Linked DNA regions of Mus musculus: all the other regions are reported to be linked to region 1. Evidence: microRNA targets listed by miRTarBase, many of them from high-throughput screens and not tested one by one. Region 1 holds a microRNA gene; each other region holds the end of a gene's coding sequence.

Evidence for each region. The annotated mature microRNA mmu-miR-297c-5p reads AUGUAUGUGUGCAUGUACAUGU and lies in region 1 at 1,947-1,968, opposite strand. An mRNA with a match to its seed (bases 2 to 7 or 8) in the 3' UTR can be bound and repressed. Matches are read on the target gene's strand: a 7mer-m8 pairs with bases 2 to 8, a 7mer-A1 pairs with bases 2 to 7 and ends in A, and an 8mer does both.
Region 2: miRTarBase lists Nsd3 as a target of mmu-miR-297c-5p. Seed matches in the 3' UTR shown: 7mer-m8 at 369-375.
Region 3: the mRNA of Asb7 is a reported target of mmu-miR-297c-5p. Seed matches in the 3' UTR shown: 7mer-m8 at 664-670.
Region 4: miRTarBase lists Slc15a5 as a target of mmu-miR-297c-5p. Seed matches in the 3' UTR shown: 7mer-A1 at 3,097-3,103.
Region 5: the mRNA of Htr3b is a reported target of mmu-miR-297c-5p. Seed matches in the 3' UTR shown: 7mer-m8 at 940-946, 7mer-m8 at 944-950, 7mer-m8 at 948-954, 7mer-m8 at 952-958, 7mer-m8 at 956-962, 7mer-m8 at 960-966 and 5 more.

Annotation. Positions count from the first base shown.
Region 1 is chr2:10,506,381-10,510,993 of GRCm38, reverse strand. Mir297c (microRNA 297c) reads right to left here and starts at 1,978; the gene lies at 1,881-1,978. All of the region lies in intron 10 of Sfmbt2 (Scm-like with four mbt domains 2), which reads right to left. Mir467d (microRNA 467d) reads right to left here and starts at 3,364; the gene lies at 3,280-3,364. It overlaps Mir466 (microRNA 466), which reads right to left and starts at 3,076; the gene lies at 3,004-3,076. It also overlaps Mir669c and Mir669a-2.
Region 2 is chr8:25,713,697-25,717,696 of GRCm38, reverse strand. Nsd3 (nuclear receptor binding SET domain protein 3) reads right to left here. Exons shown (of 23, transcript NM_001081269.2): 23 at 1-3,538. The coding sequence ends at 3,297. Among named protein-coding and RNA genes, the nearest start is that of Plpp5, 4.4 kb to the left of the region's middle.
Region 3 is chr7:66,644,234-66,648,233 of GRCm38, reverse strand. It overlaps Asb7 (ankyrin repeat and SOCS box-containing 7), which reads left to right. Exons shown (of 6, transcript NM_080443.2): 6 at 309-3,669. The coding sequence ends at 448. Among named protein-coding and RNA genes, the nearest start is that of Asb7, 43 kb to the left of the region's middle.
Region 4 is chr6:137,980,576-137,984,575 of GRCm38, forward strand. It overlaps Slc15a5 (solute carrier family 15, member 5), which reads right to left. Exons shown (of 9, transcript NM_177787.4): 9 at 3,015-3,922. The coding sequence ends at 3,775. Among named protein-coding and RNA genes, the nearest start is that of Slc15a5, 97 kb to the right of the region's middle.
Region 5 is chr9:48,932,231-48,936,230 of GRCm38, reverse strand. Htr3b (5-hydroxytryptamine (serotonin) receptor 3B) reads left to right here. Exons shown (of 9, transcript NM_020274.4): 9 at 96-1,223. The coding sequence ends at 331. Among named protein-coding and RNA genes, the nearest start is that of Htr3a, 23 kb to the right of the region's middle.

The sequences.
Region 1 (4,613 bases):
ACACCTGGTGATTGAGACCATTCACTGTCCCACTACTGCATAATCTCTAAAACTCTAAGTCACCTATCATTCAGATGGATCGATGAGTGTCATTCCTGTGTCTCTGTGTGTGTGTGTGCTTGTGTTTATATGTATGTGCATGTTATGTCTATTCATATACACACATGCACATGTACACAAAACTATACACCCATGCACATACATGGGTGGCAATCACATGAATCACAGGCAGATATCTATATCCTCCTGAAGATAAGCATGAATTTGAACTCCTGATACTCCTGATTCTAGCAAGCATTTTTACCTAGAAAATGACAGCACTCACTGGCCCAGTACTGAATAATTTCTAATATTCTAGGTGGCATATCATATAAATGGATCTATGAATGTTATTCGTGTGTGTGTGTGTGTGTGTGTGTGTGTGTGTGTGTGTGTGTGTGTGCACGCTAGGGTTTATATGTCTATGTATATGTTATGTATATCCATATAGACACATGAACATACACACACAACTATACAAACCTGCATGTACACTTAAGGCATCACATGAATCACAGGCTTATCTCTAAATCATGCTGAAGATAAGCATAAATTTGAACTTCTGATACTCCTAACTATAGTAAGCATTTTCACCTAGAGAATGAGAGCACTCACTTGCCCCATACTGAATAATCTCTACTACTCTGAGTGGCATATCATTTAAATGGGTCAATGAATGCCATTCCTGTGTCTGTGTGTGTGCTTGCGTTTATACGTGTGTGTGTATGTTATGTATATTCAAATATAGACATGAACATGCACACACAACTATACACACATGCACATACATGGAGGAATCTCAGGCTGATCTCTCATGAGGATAAGCATGAATTTAAACTCCTGATACTCTTAACTCTAGCAAGCATTTTCACCTAGAGAATAAGAGCACTCACTGGCCAAGTACTGCATAATCTCTAATATGCTAAGTGACATATCATTCAAAGGGATCGATGAAAGCCATTCTTGTGTCTCTATGTGTGTGTGCTTGCGTTTATACGTGTATGTTATGTATATGCAAATACATGCATGAACATGCACACACAACTATATACACATGCACAATCATGGGGCCATCACATGAATCACAGGCTGATCTCTAAATCCTCATGAAGGTCAGTATGTGTTTTAACTCCTGAATACTCTTAACTCTAGCAAGCATTTTCACCTAGAGACTGAGAGCACTCACTGGCCAAGTACTGCATAATCTCTAATACTCTAAGTGACACATCATTCCAATGGATTGATGAGTGGCATTGGTGTGAGTGTGTGTGTGTGTGTGTGTGTGTGTGTGTACTTGCATTAGTGTGTGTATGTTATGTATATTCAAATACAGACATGCACACACAACTATACTCACATGCACACACATGGGCGATATCACATGAATACCAGGATGCTATCTAGCTGAACATAGGAGTGAATTGGAACTCCAGATCCTCTTGACTCTTTCAATCGTTTACAACTGGTGAGTGAGACAATTCACCGTCTCTACTTCAAAATCTCTAAAACTCTAAATCACTTATCATTCCAATGGATCGATGAATGGCATTCCTGTGTCTGTTTGTGCACTTGTGTTTACTTGTGTGTGTGTGTGTATGTTATTTATATGCAAATACACACATCCACACACAACTATACACACATGCACATACATGGAGGCATCACATGAATGCCAGGCTGATCTCTAACTCATCATGCCGTTAACATGAATGTGCACTCCTGATCACCCTGAATCTAGCAAGTCTTCTCCTGGTGACTGAGACCTCTCTCTGTCAGCCCCAGTCATACAGAATCTCTAAGACTCTAAGTCACTAATTATTCAAATAGATGGATGAGTGCCAATTTTTGTGTGTTTGTATGCATGTTTGTATGGGTATGTGTGTATGTATATGTATATTCATATACACACATGTACATGCACACATACATATACACACAGGCATATATACTAGGGTCATCACAAGACTCCGAAGCTGATCACGAACTCATCATGAAGTTCAGCATGAATTTTGATTCCTGGTCATCCAAAGTCTGGCAAGCAAGCATTTTCACCTTGTGAGTGAGAGCACTCACTGGCCCAGCCCTGCATAATCTCTAAAGCTCTGAGTCACCTGTCATTCAAAAGGATCAATGAGTGACATTCCTCTGTGTGTGTGCGCGTGTGTGTGTGTGTGTGTGTGCGTGCCTGTGTGTTTATGTTTGTCTGTATGTAGATGTATATTTGTATACACACATGTACATATACACAAAACTATACACACATGCACATATATGGGGGGAGGATGCCATGAGGCCAGGCTGATCCCTAGGTCATTTTGAAGTTATTCAGGAATTTGAACTGCTGATCCAAAAGGCAAGCGTTTTACCTGGTAAGTTAACTGAGACATAGCTCTGGCCATTCCTGTGAGTGAGTGTGTGTGCATGCGTGTATATGCATATTCATATAGAGAAGTGTATGTGCACAAAGCTATACACACATGCACATTCTTTATGGTCATCACATGAATAGCATGCTGATCTCTAACTCATCATGAAGTTAAACATGAATTTGAACTCTTGATCCACCTGACTCTGTGGTGTGAGACCTCTCCCTATTGAGTACTGCAGAATCTCTAAAACTCTAAGTCACATATCATTCAAATGGACTGAGGAGTGGCATGCGTGTGTGTGTCTGTGTCTGTGGATGGGTCTATGTGTGTGTAGGTATGTATATTCATATACACAATCCACACACAGTTACACACATATACACATACATGGGGACATCACATGATTCCCAGGCAGATCTCTAAGTCATCATGAAATAAAGCATGAATTTGAACTCCTGACCTCCTGATTCTAACAAGCATTTTTAACATGATGGGTGATAACTCTCCCTGACCTAGTCACACATAATCTCCAAAGCTCACAGTCACATAGATCAATGAGTGAGTGCCATTCCTGTGTGCCTGTGTGCTCATATGTGTCTTATGTGTGCGTGTATGTATATGGATATCATATTCACATATGTACATGTACACACACATAAACACATATACACATACATAGGGGCAATCACATGAATGCCAGGATGACCTCTAACTCATCATGCCTTTACCATGAACTTGCACTCCTGATCTTCCCGACTCTACCAAGGGTTTTCCCGTGGTTTGTGAGACCTCACCCTGGCCCAGTCATACATAACCTCCAAAGCAGTAGGTCACATATCATTCAAATGGATCCGTGAGGGCCATTCCCGCATGTCTGTGTGCATGTGTGTGTAGGTGTGTGTATGTATATGCATAAAATATACACGCATATACATGCGCGCACTTATGCACACAGGCACATACATAGGGGCCATCACATTATTCCAGGATGATCTCTAACTGCTCATGAAGTTAAGCATGAAATTGAACTCCTGATCCTCCTGACAATGCCAATTGTTTACACCTTGTGAGTGAGACCATTCACTGTCCTTCTACTGCATAATCAGTAACATTCTAAGACATATATCATTCAAATGGATCGATGAATGCCATACCTTGGTGTGTGTGTGCTTGCTTTTATACGTGTGTGTGTGTGTGTGTGTGTTATGTATAATCATATACACACATGTACATGCACACAAAATTATGTGTGCATGTACATACCTAGGGTCCATCACACGAATCCAGGATGATCACTAACTGATCATTAAGTTAAGCATGATTCTGAACTCCAAGACTTCTGATTCTGGCAAGCGGTTTTCATCTAGTTGGCGAGATATTTCACTGTACCATAAATATACACTCTATGAAATTCTAAGCACATATAAAACTTATGGATGACTGCCATGTGTTTCTGTATGCATGCATGTGTGAATATGTGTCAATATATGTCTTTTCATATATCCGCATGTACAGACAAACTTATCTATACACATACACAGAAACAATCACATGAATAACAGGCTGATCTGTAACTCATCAGGAAGTTAAACATGAATTTGAACTCTGGGACCTCCTGACGCTGGCAAGAGCATCCACCTCCTAACTGAGACATAGCTCTGGCCCAGCACTGCATAAGCTCTAAAGCTCTGAGTCACATACCATTCCAAAGGATATATGAGTGCCATTCCTGTGTCTGCATGTGTGTATATGCATATTCACATAGAGAAGTGAATATGCACACAACTACACACACATGCACATTTTGGTGTGCATCAATGAAACACATGCTGATCTCTAATGCATCATGAAGTTAAACATAAACTTGAACACCATATTCTCCTGACTCTAGCAAGATTATTCACCTCCTACCTAAGAAATAACTCTGGCCATTCCTATGAATGTGTGTGCATGTGTGCATATGCATATTCATATAGAGAAATGAATATGCACACAACTATACACACATGCACATTCTTGGTGGGCATCACATGAATCCCGTGCTGATTTCCAACTCATCATGAAATTCAGCACAAATTTGAACTCCTGATCCACCTGACTCTGGCAAGGGATTTCACCTGCTGAGTGAGACCTCTCCCTATTCAGTACTGAGGAATCTTAAAACTCTAAGTCACATATCATTCAAATGGACTGAGGAGTGGCATT
Region 2 (4,000 bases), not on the chromosome of region 1:
GGGCATGGCATGTGGTTGGCAGCATTTTAGCTCCGTGGGGAAGTGCTGCAAGAGGAGTGTTGTTTTGACAAGATTAGCGGCAGGTCTTGGAGAGCCGGGTCTATGTTCTGAACAGATAATGGGAGGACTTCAAACTGTAGTCTGGCTTTGACCCGAAACAGTAAGAAAGTACTCAAAAAAGAAGCCACTGCATAAAAGCTGCCTACCAGTCCAGCCGAGTATTTCACATGAGCAGACAGACCCTCAGTATCTCAGATCCATATTAGTTACACACACTTCCGCAAACACTGCAGTGGGAGACACTGACAGAAGCAGTGGGCTGCAGGCCCTTATTATCTCTTTAGTTTCAAATACTTCCTAACTCAGTATGTATGTGTACACACACACACACACACACACACACACACACACACACACACACCACTTATATATATAAAACATTTTATATTTATATATATATATATGTTATTTATATAACGCACAGAAAACTCAAGTCTATTCTACAGCTTAGGAAAGGTAATTTTTGAGAATTAAAATAAGAGTAGGTAGGGCTTGCAAAGCAAAAGTGAAGATAAAACCTACTCCACTCTGATCCCCACCCTGACTGGAGACTGAAATCAGAGGTTACTGCAGCACACTGGCAGTGACGAGCACTGGTCCCATCCTGCTTGGCCAGACACAGGCAGCTACCCTGGCGGCCCAGCGACACCTACAAGGCACAGTGCTTGTGATGGTCTCGTGCTATCATCTCTAGCTCTTTCCAGCCCAATTTCTAAAGCTTTCCACTGATAACCAGAACTCTCATCTTCCTCCTGAGGTTAGGAAATACCACTAGTATCCCATGCTGCTTTGAGTCCTTTATTTCTGGGCTGAATAAAATCAACCACAAATGCTGTATACCTAAACCATATTGAAAAGCTACCACCAAGCAGCTTCAGGCTCCGAGTAAGCACAGTGCCTTGCAATGTCACTGACACAGGACATGAAACGACCGACGGTGTACGTATACTTACACCAGTCAGCCAACGTTCTGCTTCCTAACCCTCAGTTCTAAGACCCAGGCTGCGATGATGGCACAGGCAGTCGCCCTTGCACTTGGCTTGGAGCAGGCAGGCTTCTGAGAGCAAGCCTGTTAGTCATCTAGTAGGAAAAGATCTGAAAAGTGCAAAGTCCTTTTATAGATATAAAAACAAGCGAGCCATAGCAGAGAAGCAGGAGAGAGATAGGTCAGGGTAGGGTATTTATAAATACATGATGAACCCTGGGGCTTACTCTATAAAAGTTATCAGATACTAAAAAGCACGAGGTCAAAAAGGAAACAAGATACAATCTCATATCGGACATTGTTCTCATGAGGGTTACATTTGGAATATCAAAGGAAGTCGCTTATCAACAAGTTTAAAAAATGTTATGTCTGTATAAAATAAAATTTAATATGACAAAACCCAGATACTCTTACATTATTGTTTTAAAGGACATCAAACTTCATAATTGCTCAAGAGCAGAGAGTTTAGTGTTTGCGTGGGCTGTGCTTCGTTCGAGTCGGTCGTAGGGACTGCACTGGGTGCTGGGTACCGTCCTGTCTCCCTCCTCACAGGAGCTTGTCTAGCCAGCGGGATTACCACAAGTGCTAGACTAGGTAAATGGCAGTTCAGGAGCTTAGAGAGGAACTGTAGTGTCTGTTGCCTATAAATTGCACATTTATATATATTTAAAAAAAAGAGGCACAAAATTGCTCTTTCTTTTGTCCAGAGATGAGGTCTGAATTGATTTGTAAAAAACTAAAAAAAGGACAAACGCACCTAACATAACTACAGGGTGTCATAGAGCATCTCGTGCCCTACGTTAGTAAAGTATAGGTTCTTGAGGAGAAGAGAGCCTACTGGGTACCTCCAGTAAGCAGTTGAAACACACTGAGGAAGTTCATATTTCATGGTAACACTAGATTTTTATTTAGTCTAATGTTACCATGTCTGACATGATTTCACACAAGTAATACTGGACTAGATCCTAAGTGCTAGATGCAAGTGAATTCTGCGGGCCGACGCCTTGGTATGCTTGGGTCTGTACTATTCAAACCTCACAGCCATGTTTGCAAACACTGACTTTGTGGGGGGCGGTTTCAAGTGCTTTCTACATGGAGCATCTCTGTGGCTCCTACATACCCTGTAAAAGAGCAAGTTCTTCCCCTTATGCAATGGGGACAGTCTTAAGTATTGCATAATACTAAGTAGAAATGGTTCACATATAACTTAGGGATGTTTCTGTCCACTTGCATCATCCCTAAGTTAGGAAATCAACTGAAAAAGTCTATTTCATATAATTCAGATTCAGTTATATAGCTTTACCAGGAAACATGACTGAGTGACCCAGCTGGCAAAGGAAACATGATTGGCAGAGGGAAAGACAGAAAATAAAATGCCCTTAAATTCCAGGTTAGACTGGAGTCTACATTAAATTGGTCAGAAAATGGTGCATATATGATCCAATGTTTGGTCTGTGCCTTATCTTTCTTTAGCCTCTTGCCAGTGGTCAGGACAGCAGGAATGAGCATTCCCCTATGTATTCACATCCCTCAAATGTTTCAGAAAATCACAATGAGTAGAATGCACTCACTCCTTGTCCCTCTAAGATATTTCTACGTAGAGTTGGCGCACCATGAAGCCCACCCAGTTTAAGACCACAGAGGTAAATGCTGTCAAGGAGTTTGTTTTCAAGAGGCCAGTCTGAATACTTGCTGAGAGCCTTCTCTGACCCGAGAAAAGGCCCGGGAAAAAGGAAAGAGAAGTTAGCCACTCTATGGCTCAGGAAAGAGGTATATAAAGGTGACAGTCATGCACGCTTGCACACACACGCACACGCGCACGTACACGCACGAGCACTCATGGAGGTTAGATTGTTTGAACTACACTTCTCAGAATACCTAAAAATGAAAATAAATACAGGAATGACTACTTTCACTTTACATAACCCGGGAGTACATCTTAGGCTTTACACTGATCGTATAGACAAAACTTTCTTTTAATTTTCTCTCTCTCAACTCTAAAAACAAGGACACCTCTTTTGCTGATTGCAAAGACACTGAAGCACAATGAAAGGCAAGAAGAGACCAAGGGAATTTTGCTGTCCACAAAATTATCCCCCAAACAACAAAATAGAAAACCCAGACACCAGCAAGTGCTTTAGCCTGTGTGAGCTGGCGCCCATCTCCGTCAAGGCGGACTGACGGCAGGGCAGGGCAGGCGTGGCCTCTCTGCGCCTCTTTACTGAGAGCAGTGGGAGGAGGTCACCACCGCTCACTCCTTTACTTCTTCTCCACTATCTTGGGATTCCCATTTACATCTGATCTTGCTCCAGTATTCTGGTGACACAGGAGATGCAGGGTCGTGGCTGGAGCAGCAGAGACGACCTTCTAGTGCAGAGGGCACCAGAGCCCCTTTTCCATGAGCCTTACAGAATGAGTGTGGACAGAATTCACAGAAGGAAACGGCTACACTGCCACACTCGTCACACCGATGCCACGGGCACTCCCACTTTCCTAATGCAGGGGTGGGGAGGAGAGGGAAGTATCTGTTAGCTGATTTCTTGATTACCCACCAAAAACCCAAGAGGTACCCCCTCCCCTTTTTGGAGACAAAGTCTCATTGTGTAGCCTGGCTGCTCTGCCACCTGTTTCCTAAGTGCTAGGATTAAAGGCATATGTTATTAACCCCATTTTGAAACAAGGTCTTTCTCCAAAGTGTAGGCTGGCCTCGATCCTCTGGCCTGTGCCTCCCAAGCACTGGGATTAACAATGGCACCACTGTACTTGGCTTCTACCTGCTTTGCTTAGAGAATCCCTCTCCAAACTTCAGCCAAACAAACTTCCATCTTGTAGTGTTTTTTCTTTCATACAGATATGAGCTACTGGCCCAAACCCAATGTCATAGGTGCCACCTACAACCCATGGCGACCATAAACAGGAAATGTGCCCTCAATACCACATGAGGTACACGTCATT
Region 3 (4,000 bases), not on the chromosome of region 1:
CCCACCTCCTGGAGATTCCACAGCACTCACCAAGGCAGTACCATCATTCAGGCACAGAATATTCTAATCGGGTGCCTGACAGGACCATTGCATACTCAGACCATAACATTACCGCCTTGTAAAGAGTTTTGGAAAAGACCAAGTGGGTGAGACACCACAGGAAGGGACAGATGACACTTGAGAATCTCGGTCAGTCCTTTGACTGTAAGATCCACAGTAGACCCTTCCTCAGACAATGCCTTCCCTCACATCCCTCCCTCTCCAATGCTTTGTACCTCTGTAACGTTCTCTTTTCTCTGTCATTTTAGGACAGCCCAGAACCCTGCAGGACCTGTGCCGAATTAAAATTCGACAGTGTATAGGCCTTCAAAACCTGAAGCTGCTTGATGAGCTACCAATTGCCAAGGTCATGAAAGACTACTTAAAACACAAATTTGATGATATCTGATACACCTGGACTGTGGACAAGATTACGAGTTATTCCAGATACTTAAAAGGCTTCAGGCCTTGCACAAAGTATATCCTATGCAATTTCTGATTTGCGGTCAAGTCAGAAAGCAGGTATACACTTTTAGGTTTATGTTTGTTTGGATTTCATTTGGGGGAGGGATCTGTGTGTGTGTGTGTGTGTGTGTGTGTGTGTGTGTGTGTGTCTACACTCACACATACACACCCCACGCTTGAAGGTCTTAATTTGGTTTCTTGGTCCAAGTCGATGAGGTCCAAGCCTTTCTATACAATACTGCATTTAGAAAATTTGTTTTTCCTAAGTGCACAATATAGACAGGTTTGAAGCAGAGAATTTTCCCTTTTGATGCTCTGGTTTCATTGGTGAACACGGTACTAGGAACCAGTAGACGGAATACTTCTTAAAGTTTGGAGGTCTCAGGCTCACCTCCTGTGATCCTGGGTGATGCTGGAAAATTCTCTGTGAAGAAACTTACAGTAATGCTGTCGCCTCATTCATTTTTAATGAGTACAGATGAGCTGTTTAAAAATCCTTTTTCCCTTCTAATTAATGTAGCTTTCCGATGAAAAAAACCAACCCAGGACCTCGGCTTCCTTTGGTGTGCGCTTTTTTTTTAAATTATTTTTTTTAACAACTGTAAGACACTACCCTGAAACATTGTGTTTCAACTCCCCCACCCCCTCTCTTATTGAATTGTGCTTTTAAAACAAAATCAATGGGGAAAGGAATTAACTTTTTAAAGCCAGTGTATTCTGTTTTTTAAAAAACAAAACAAAAACAAAAAATGGTGCCTCTTGTGCAACTCTCTTGGTGTCGTCTCTGGATGGTTTGCTCTTCCTGTTCTTCAGTTGGCTTCCTTGTGCCCCTTGGAGCCATCATCACCACCTCCATCCCACAGCAGGCCACCAGGATCACCTCAGTTTCCACCTTAAACTTTGTGTTTTATTTCACCTTAAAGAACAAATTTCATATTCTGGTGATGACAGAGGTCCCTAGAAATAGCCCACATTCTTGCTAAACCATTCTACTTTAATGACTAAATATTTCAGGGTGGTTTCTTGGTGGATTTTTTTGCCTTCCTGGTAATATGTATACATATATATTTTAAGGGGAAAGTCTCTAATGGGCACCCTTTTGTAAGCCTGGCAAATTGCTGATACGCTAATTAAGTATTTCCTGTCTATTTTGAAGGTGAGTACAGTAAAGCTCTTCAAGACAAATATTTTAATTTTCTGGGTTGGTTGGACAAGTATGTGCAAGAAAGACCCGGATGTAGTAAAGTGTTAGTAACAAGGGGGAGGGCCCAGAGGCCCTAGGCATCATGGGTGTTCCTGGGGACACACACTCACTGCTTCATTTGACGTTATGTTAGTTTGAAGACACCCCCTTTTAAGTTCCCCATGCCATTCTTAGTGCTGTGACAAATTTTTTAAATATTTATAAACTGTTAATAAATTTGCTATCAAAAGGTTGCAGGATAAGGGCTTCTCCTTTCTTGTCAGAATTGCCAGTTTGAAGGCATAGAGGGTAAAGTCTTCCCCTCCTAACATAATTAAGCAGAATTAGGTTTCCCTGAGTTCAGGCTAGCAGTGTTGTTCACTCAAGCCCAAAGCTTGCCGTCTTGGCCAGAGTAGCTGTGACCGCAGAACATTGGGTTTGCGTGTGCCTAGGTGGCACAGGGATTCCTGAACAGGCAAAAGGATGCTTCAGGGACTTGCTGATGTGGCCCATAGCCTCCTTCAGGGAGAGCATGAGGCCAGAGTGATAGCTGGGACCCAGGAAGATAGGGATGGCTGTGGTGACCCTGGCTGAAAGGTTACCTCCATGGAGAGTCCCCTTCTAAGGCACCTGCAAAGCTGTGTTCTCAGTCTTTATTCAGGCCCCAGGTCAGGGCTGGAGACACACTACCAGCCTTAGGGACACAAAGTGACCAGAAATTAGTTGAGTGTAACTTGTGTTAGAGCCCCAGCCCAGCATGGAAAGTGGTGGGAGGAGAGCTGAGAGTCTGGACTCTGAGCTGCCATATTAGTGTCCAGTTGCACAGGAATCATACATGAAAATTAATTTATTTTGTAAGTTAAAAGTGACATTCACTTTCCAGCCATTCAGAGGGTTCTGAACTAAGCCACTGAAATCGAATTGAATCAGGGGATCCCAAATAAAAAGATCATATTAAGGCAAATTCTTTGTGCTGTTTACTGCTGTGACTTCAGAAAAAAAAACAAAAAACAAAAAAACAAAAACAATTCTGAGTGCTCTTCCAGGAATTGAAAATTCTATTTAATGAAGAAGTGTATAATTCCATTATTTATTGTTTGTGGTTTGATTTATCTGGAAGCTTGAGAGAATGTCCTTTGTTTATACTAGACCCCAGTCCTGTGCTGTATTCTATGGTAACGGAAGGGCTGTCCAGTTGCTGATGTGGTTGTGGTGACCATGCAGGTCTGCCCCTGAATTTGTTATCAGAGAAGCAGTCTGTGGCCCTAGGAGAGAAAACAGCCCCTCATAACACAGCCCGTTGACTCAAAATTCACACTGAGTCTTTTGCGCTTCTTTTGAAATTTATTATTTAAGCCTATTACTAAAACTTTATAAAATGCATTTGGCGAATACACCAAAGAAACCAGCTCATAAAATATGATCATTAACGAACTGCAAACCTCATCTTTTGAAAACAAGGGTGTTTCTTTGTAAATATTTGTGTTTATAAATGTACAGCAGAGTTAAGAGTGTTTTTTTAGATTATTTAATTCCCATATTTCTAAACTATTTACTACAGAATAACCCCTGCTTATTAGTTTGGGTGACTTGATTGTTTGTTTTTTTTTTTTTTAATTCATTACCAGTCATGCTTGGAGTGACGATTCTGCTGGAGAGGTCAGCACTCTGGCAGTGGCTGGAGTCGCTTGTAAAGCATGGGGGAGACTAGCATGACCTGTCAGACTCCTCCCTCGTAAGACACCAGGAAAGCGTAGCTTAATGGCCAGAGTGGACCATGAGAAAGAGTTTCTAACTTCCCTACTGAATCACCTGTTAGCCCAGGGTGGAATTGGGACAAGGCTGTTTGCCCACAAATTTAGCTTTCATGTAACTCCCAGTGTGTTGTATCATAATATATTCTGTTCTTTCTTTGTAACGTAAGTTTTGCTTTGGGTCGATTTGAATTAAAAAAAAAAATCTTAAATCTGGTTTAAAAAAAATACTGAATTTGTGTTTTCTTTCTCTTCTATCTTAACTTTTTCACAACTCCAGGTGTTTGGTAAAGTGGAATAAAGCTGTATTTTTCATCAGCACATTAGGTCACTGGTGACTGGATGAGAAAATTATTCAAAAACAATGCACATTTCAAGCCATTTCTTTAACTCTCTTTTATTTACTTATTTTTTAGTGTTTTATTACATTTGTTTATTTACCTACCTGCTTTGTGGAGCTGAGAGGAAAGCCTGCAGGAGTCTATTCTCTGCTGCTCTGTGCCCCGCCCACCATGGGGTTCAAGCCCTTCATGTGCTGAGCCCCCCACCCCCACCCCGC
Region 4 (4,000 bases), not on the chromosome of region 1:
TACCATGGTAATAGACGCTTGTCATAGGCTGTGGACTCACTGCTGTGTTTATGTAAGTTTGGCCACTTGTGGTTTCGTAAGCCTGAGAACAGCCTGAGTTCCATCCGAGAGATGGAATAGCAGCCAAGAGGTGGGTTCCAATGCAGCAGTGATGGCTGCTAGATGTGTATTGGGGGCTGGAGGCTCAGCAATTAAGAATGTACATCCTGCTCCTAGAGAGCCGGTTAGTTCCTTGCACCCAGGTGAGACAGCTCACAGTCTCTTGTTGGAAGACTTCCCTGAGACTATCTAAAAGCCTAGGGTCACTCTGATTGCTAAGTAAGCAAACATACTAAGAAATGGGACAGCACTGTGCAAGTCTCACCAGAATCTTCACAATTACCCATCATTCAAAGTGCCTTTCTTTAAGGCTGTTCAGAACCAGCGTAGTACTAACATCCAGATGGTTTTAATGACAGAGCTGAAAGGACACTTCTGAGTGAGGTCCCTGCTCCCACTGTGGTCCCAAGAATCTTTCAGTGGGGTGCACCTGACTATAGGGTCCACACGAGGGCAGTGTAAGGATCCATAGTACGTTCTGACAGAGGAAAATGTTTTGTCACAATCTCTGCCCCTGATGTGATTATTCTTCTCCTTCTTGTTCGAATTTGACAGTGGAGAGTGCTTCACCCACGTGGGCTGAGCTAATGTTGGTGATATCAAGTGTTGTTTGTGAAGGCAGCCCCTGCCACCCTTAAGAACAACAGTATAGTTGTCTGCGGAAATGACTGTTTCTGAAACTCTGCTCAAAATTTGTTTTTATTTATTCATTTATATGTATGTGTGTATGTATGTATGTATGCATATGTGATATTTGTTTGTGTGTGTGTGTCTGTGTGGTGTGCATGTACACTTGTGTACTCTGTTAAATAATAAAAATACTTTAAAAGTTAATGCGGGTGGTATACGCTTGTGTTTGTGTCTGCGCATGCCCATGCACACAGAGCAAGAGGAGGAGGATGCTGGAAGTCTTGTCTTATCATTCTCCCATGTATTCCCTTGAGACAGAGTCTCTCACTGAAGCTGAAGCTTACCTACCTAGTCAGCTATGCTGGCGGGACAAGCAGGGAACACCCTGATCTGCTTGTCTCCGCCCATCAACGCTGAGCATGTGTGGTCAGGCCAAACGTTTTTCTTTTGGGTTCTGGGAGTCATACTCATATTCTCACAGTATGTGCTCTTACCTATTGATCATTCTCCAGAGTTCCACAAAGTGCTGGGAATTCCAGGTTGGTAATGATGGGATGAATGCCAGAATTCAGAGTATCAAAGTGGGGATACTACAGACAAGGAAGTCAGCCAAGTAGAGAGATATAATAAGGGGAAATGGCCAAAGAGCCTGGGAGAAAAATCTACCCTCTTCCAGATCCTAGTTATTATTTTTTTTTCTTCAGACACTGTGGTTGTTGTTTTCCTGTTAAGAAACAAGGCAATATGTTGGGAAAACTTTATTGTTAAACTTGTATAATGAAAACACATGTAAAGATTGTTTGTGTATAGGCACAATGTCTGAATTAGGGCTTCACCGAATTCTTGTCAGGGAAAAAGAGAAAGATGTCTCTGTCATTAGCTGACAGAACCAGCTGGGGTCAGACCTGTGGGCTCATGGGTCACAGAAAACATTTTCCAAGCCCTCCATTCAAGTTTCAGTCTTGAACAGAAATCCAGCGTAAGGGGGCTTTTTAGGGAAGACTGGCTTCTGTCCGCCGCCTTTCAGCCGCTTTGTGAGCTGGAGAGAGTGAGCGGCTGGGAGAGGCCCTCGGAGGAAGCGGCTGGAACCTATGATATGCTGCAGGGACACAGGACTTCGCTGCCAGTGAGCACATTATGAGAGAAATACAGTACGGAACGCAGCGGGTTTCTGCAAACAAGGCATCCCTTTAAGTTAATTGGTGTTATATAGAAGCTGAAACGCTCCGCTTATTTACAAAGCTCCAGATTTATGTAAAGCAAAACCAATTACACTTAATGCCTAAACTACTCCAGGTGCTCAGAGATAATGTCGCCAGGCACTAGAGAAGAAACTGCCGTGTGAATGCACCCTGTTCCCAACCGAAGCGTCTGTAGTTACTGCAATTTAGCTAATCACAAGTGTCAACGCCAACCTGCGAGTTCTCAGCTCTTCTGCTGCTTGCTTTGGGTCAATTTTATAATTTCTGATGTTCTTTCATCGCAAAGGAAGAGCGAGAGTGTAATGAACACCTTTTTTTTCCCTCCCCATTACAATGTAGAAATTAAGGAGATGAAGGGACATTTGGGGAAGGGCCAAAGTCGTCCCGGTCCTTTTCTAACAGCCAGAGCACGCTGTGGCTTTTCATTTACACCAAGATGAGGCGTTTGGAACTTTCTTGATCTTCGGGATGTTCATTATGAGACCAATGCGCTAGATACTGCATTAATGAGGCTCCTTTGGGGTGTTCATTAAGCCCAAAACTGCAAGCTTGGCATTTAACCTTTCACAGCGAGGAAAGTTGTAAGAGCAGCAGGCTCAGCCCCACTGTTTTGCCAGGGAATTGTGCAAAACAACGAATAAGTTGTGGGGAAGAATTTCTGCCTATAGAGCTGACTTTATAAACTTGTCCTCCAAACAAAGGAACACATAGCAAGTAGCTGGAATAAGAAAAACGCCTGGGGTTTGACTGCGCTTAGAGCATTTAAAAATGCACATTGTAACCTAATCAAGTTACAATTGGCTACATTTCTTACTCCATGGCTCTAAACATTGGACAGATCAGCAAGAGAGGCATTCAATCACAGTCTCTTGGAATGAACAGTTAAAAAAAATGCTCTTGCCCAATCTAGCCTGGTTCTGGAGAGGAAGTCAAGGAAGGGTGCTGGGAGAACCTTTAAAGTCTGGGCGGCAGTATGGAAGAACTTAGGGTAGCGTCAACAAGACATGCAGTTTGGGGAGAAGACAGAGTCGCCTAAAATAGGAGGCTGAAAACCAAACTTTGTCACATACTGAGGCAAATTGTGATAAAGAGATGACAGGACATTAACTTTATTCAATAATAATAATAATAATAACAACAACAACAATAATAATAATAATAATAATTGTATGGCCTAGAGAGGCATCTGTCTGTATTTCCACTTCTTTGATCATCCTCTGCTACATAGTTAAGTTTGAGGGCAGCCTGGGCTCTATGAGATCTTGTCCCAAACCTGATAAGACCAAATAAAACCAAACCAAACGACCTCTATTTTAGTAACATTGCTTTTAAATTCTGAAGAAAGTTTCTTAATCAAGATATATTTTAGTAGAATGCCAAGGTCAAATATAGCAGAATTCTATACACATTTATTATCTAAACATCATATTACTTATGGTTTATAATACCTAGAATGCAATAAAGCCTTAGTGAATATACAGAAAGAAGAAGTAGAAGCATATTGTTTCTTAGCTTCTAATGACATTAAAATTATAAATAAATCTTTCATATCACCTTCAACTGCTGAACCACTGTAATGATTATACAATATGATTGACACGCTAACATGGAAAATGATTGTTTCCGGTCACAGAGTAATCACCAAGACTTTAAAATCGCTTTATTAGTTCAAGAGCATAATATATCATTAAAAGTCATCATAGTTTATTGGAAGGATCATAATTATTCATTGTAAATAAAGTACACTCTTCTTTATGTTGACTTTCCCAGTGAAACGTATGAAGTATTCGATTGAAGAAGAAAATAGTGGATAACGGGTCTCACAAGAGAATCAAATCCAGTTTCAGAGGGCTGTCTCCCAAAGATCAATACTTGAAGATGCTCCCTGTGTACTGCCATAAAACTTCAGAGACTTCTCAGTGAGGAGAAGAGTTTCTTCACAACGATTTCCACGGATGCGCTGGGCATTAAAATGATTTAGATTACAATATCTGAGAGAGAGAGAGAGAGAGAGAGAGAGAGAGAGAGAGAGAGAGAGAGAGAAAGAAAGCTTTCCTTAGGAGCAGATG
Region 5 (4,000 bases), not on the chromosome of region 1:
AGGGTGAGAGTCCCCAATTCCAGCAAAGACTTTTCCTTAAAGAATAAGAACAAGTAGCTCCTGGTTCATTCAGAGTGCTCCCCTCTATCACACAGAGTCCCCGGTCCATCAGGAGCATCGGGTCCCATCAGATACTCTGAAGGATTTCTGGTTCCAGTTCCGGTCCATCAACAACTCTCTTCGAACTCGGGATCAGATTCACCAGAAGGAGGTGGAGTGGCTGGCCATCCTGTATCGCTTTGATCAGCTGCTCTTCCGAATCTACCTTGCCGTGCTGGGGCTCTATACCGTCACCTTATGCTCTCTCTGGGCACTGTGGAGCAGAATGTGACAATGGAGACCGCTGGTCTCACTTGATATGGGGTTACAACATGTAGGGAAAGCTGAACAGTGCTTGGAGAGGGTCTGAAAAGAAGGGGTGGGTAGCCTCCAGGATGCTATTGTCTCTTTTCAGTGACTACAGAGACAAGTATCTTATTGGCTATTGACCAAACCAGTAAACCTACATGTTCATAATAAAGATGTCTAAACAGAATAGAGTATGCAGTGACAAGCAAGCTTTCACTCTCCCTGAACCAGCAGCAACTGCGTACACTTAGGTTTAAGGAAAAAAAAGTTTGCTTTTAGATTTTTGAAGCTGGGTCTCTTATAGTCCAGGCTAACCTTGAACCCCTGACATTCCAGCCTCTACCTTCCAATTGCTGAGGTTGCATGTATTGTGCCACCATGTCCAGCTCCATTTGATATCTTCTGCTTCAACAGTCTATATGTTAGCTTGGCTTAAGCCCTGCTCAAACCTGCTTAAATCCTCCAGGTTCATCAATACATTATTGTCTCCTCAATTCTGTCTTTGGTCTCATGTTATTTTATAACCTTCTCCCCTTAAATATTTGGTAGCCTTTTTAATGCATGTGTGTATAAGAGGAAGAAGAGGGATATACATACATACATACATACATACATACATACATACATACATACATACATAGATTACCTAATGGGCTACATGCTTCCGGCCCCTGACGCTGAGCCTGGTTCTATCACTGCCCATTTAGGAGACCTCAGACTTCACTTCAGTTTGCCTTATTTAAAGCAGGGGGTGTCAATATTTACTCTTTCTATATCATAGAATTATGAAGGCAAAAATCAAGCCAAATGGCTCAACGGTATCTTGAAAAGTACAAAATAGATGATGAAAATAAACTTGAGACTTGCCTGCTATCAACAGACGGTTCTGGTTGGAGTCTTCGGTATGAGTGTGGGCTTCCAGTTTCCTGTCTGCTCTTTCTGCTTCCCCCACACCTAGCCCAGGTCCCTAGAGTTCTACATGTGGGGACCCTGCAGCAATAATCACAAAGCACTTCATTCCAGCTCACTGCTTGATGGACAAGTGTCTGAGGTGCTTTCTCAAGTCCGAGGGACAAGATCCACCCAAGGTCAGACATCCTGTCTGGGCCCTCCCTGGGCATCTATATCACTATTCTTCACTGAAGGTGGTCAGACATCCAGTTTCCTGGGCATCCACATCTCTATCCATCACTGAGGGTGGTCCTCAGGTGGCTAGTGGGCAGAACGACACAGCAAGGCTTAGAGACATTATACATCCTGATGCTTCCAGCATAGGCCATGAAAGTCCAAAGCTGTTTTCTAGAAACCTATTCCAGGACTGAAATTGCCTTTAAAAAAAATCTGCCCTCCCATCCCCACCCTGAAGAAAAAGAATTTAAATTCCAACAGCTTTTACCTGCACCCCCTCTTTCATTACCTCCCAGTTAGTGCTCAACGCCAATTGTCCATGAAATTCCACTGCTGCCGTTAATGAAATGGGGAACGCAAAAAGTTTGTGAACAGGAAGTGTCCATGCAAACTCCACCTGTTTCCTTCTTCACTTCCTACTTTGTTACCACTGTCCTTCTCTGCCTCTATGGTGTTGTTAGCCTCTACATTGATGCTAGCCTTCTCCACTCCCACCCTCCCACCCCCACCCCCACCCCCGTTATCAGAGAGGGCAGTTGGAAAGGCATGGCTGTGGCCTTTCCTCCTTCTTAAACACATGCTGGAGGAGTCAGAGCCAGGAGGTCTGGTCCATCATTGTTTACCCAGGGGAGCTTGAACTTCATTTCTCAGACCATAATTTGACTTCCTTGAAATTGATGCTATAAATATTTACTATCTCCATGTCACAGACTTCTGAGAGCAAAATGAAACAACTTAATGACATTTCAAAAAGTCAATAACAGATGACAATATAAACAGGGGACTGTCTGCTTTCAATAGAGAGAAAGGTTCTGGGGCTTTTGCTGTGGGGTCTGATTTCCAGCATCTCTATCAGCATTCAAGTATGGACTCTGCTTCTCCCAAGGAGTGAGTGTCTTTATTATAGGATCTAAGGTTCAAGGGCTGATGCCATCAACTGTCCCTTTGTAGTGGAGGGACCTGAAAGAGACTTCCATTCCACATCCTGCCTAGCTCACTTTTACTGTACTTAACCATCACCTAGGCTCTTTATAACATCCTTTAAGAAGCAGTCCTTCCCTGGTGGAAGGTGAGCTCTAAGTAGACTTCCCTCTGTCTAGAGTGCCACCACCCTGATATCAGCTGGCAGTCCCAGGGCCAGATCTGCAGCCCAAAGCAGTAGTGCTATGAGCACATGGCTCTACAGTGCTCCTGAGAGAGTGTGCTCTGCCCTGGAAGAAACATGGCTGCAGCCTGGCTTACAGCCCTTCCACTCGCTCTTCCTTCTCATGAGTTTTGTTTCAGAGATGAAGGAATCCGAGGAACAGAACAAAAATGGGATTCTCCCAGCTGCGACTGCTCCTGCCATCTGCTGTCCCCCATAATCTAAGAAATCACTGCTCCAGGGTGATGTCTTGAATACAAAGAAAAGCACAGGTCCTGGGCTAGCCAAGTAGCCTCTGCTTCATCTTATTCTCTCTGCTATGGTGACCTCCCTGAGCATGGTAGTCTGTCTTTTTGTTCATTTCGCTGTCTTGATTTTTTTTTTAAAGATGAATGTCTCATGCAGTCTGCCTCACCTCAAACATGCTATGTATTTGAGGATGACCTTGGTCTTCTGATCCTACTGCCTCTACCTCCTAAACAACGGGATTACAAGTATGCCTCACCACACCTGGTTTTATATGACATGTAGAATAAACTGAGGGCCTGTGTGTTCTAAGGAAGCACCCTGCCAACTGAGCTACAAAATAATGAGGTGATAGAGGGTGTCCCTTGCCTCCAGGGATACCGCCTTTTACAGACATTCTAGAGCTGGAGTAGAGAAAGAAGCTGAGCCTTTTACCAGTTAAATCTCCCTCCACAGCAAAGCTCCTGTGGCCTCACTGCCTGGGTTAGAGGGTGAGAATCAGGAAACCACACAGTAGCCATGAAGGGAGTATGGCTCCAAGACAGAGTTCTTGCATGGCAGGCAGTCATCCAGGACACACCCCAGGTCTTGGTATGTTTACTCTGGGAAGGACTGGTCTCCTATGATCCCTTGCAAATGCCACTCAGTGTCCAGGGACCCCACCCATTCTCCTTGTCAGCTTGCCTAAACTCGTATCTAGTCTCATGTCTAGTCTATGTCCCATTCAGTTCCCTGGCTCTGGCTCCTTGGATGTTGCCACTGCTCAGTTCTGAGTTATTTACCTGCAGAGACGGCAAAAACTTCATAATTAGCTGAGCCCCAGCGTGGAGGCTTTTATGAGCAGCTCCGTCCCCCACTGCTCTCTGCTGTCCGTAATTGAAATGACCCACACCAGTGATTAGATTAGGGGGCTGAAGGAGCCCAGCACGATACCCCCATCCTCTCCCCTGTCCTGTTGGGGAAGTGATGTAGTTAAATTTGTGCTTCATTTGGCAGAGGCCATAAAGCGGGAATCACAGCTCGGCTTTCTGCAGGGGCTGGAAGACACTGCTGGGCTGTAGGCAGTAAGCGCCAGTATGGGCTCAGAGGGAGGGGGCTACTTTCTCACCTTTACCTTGCTTTCTTACCTTTCCT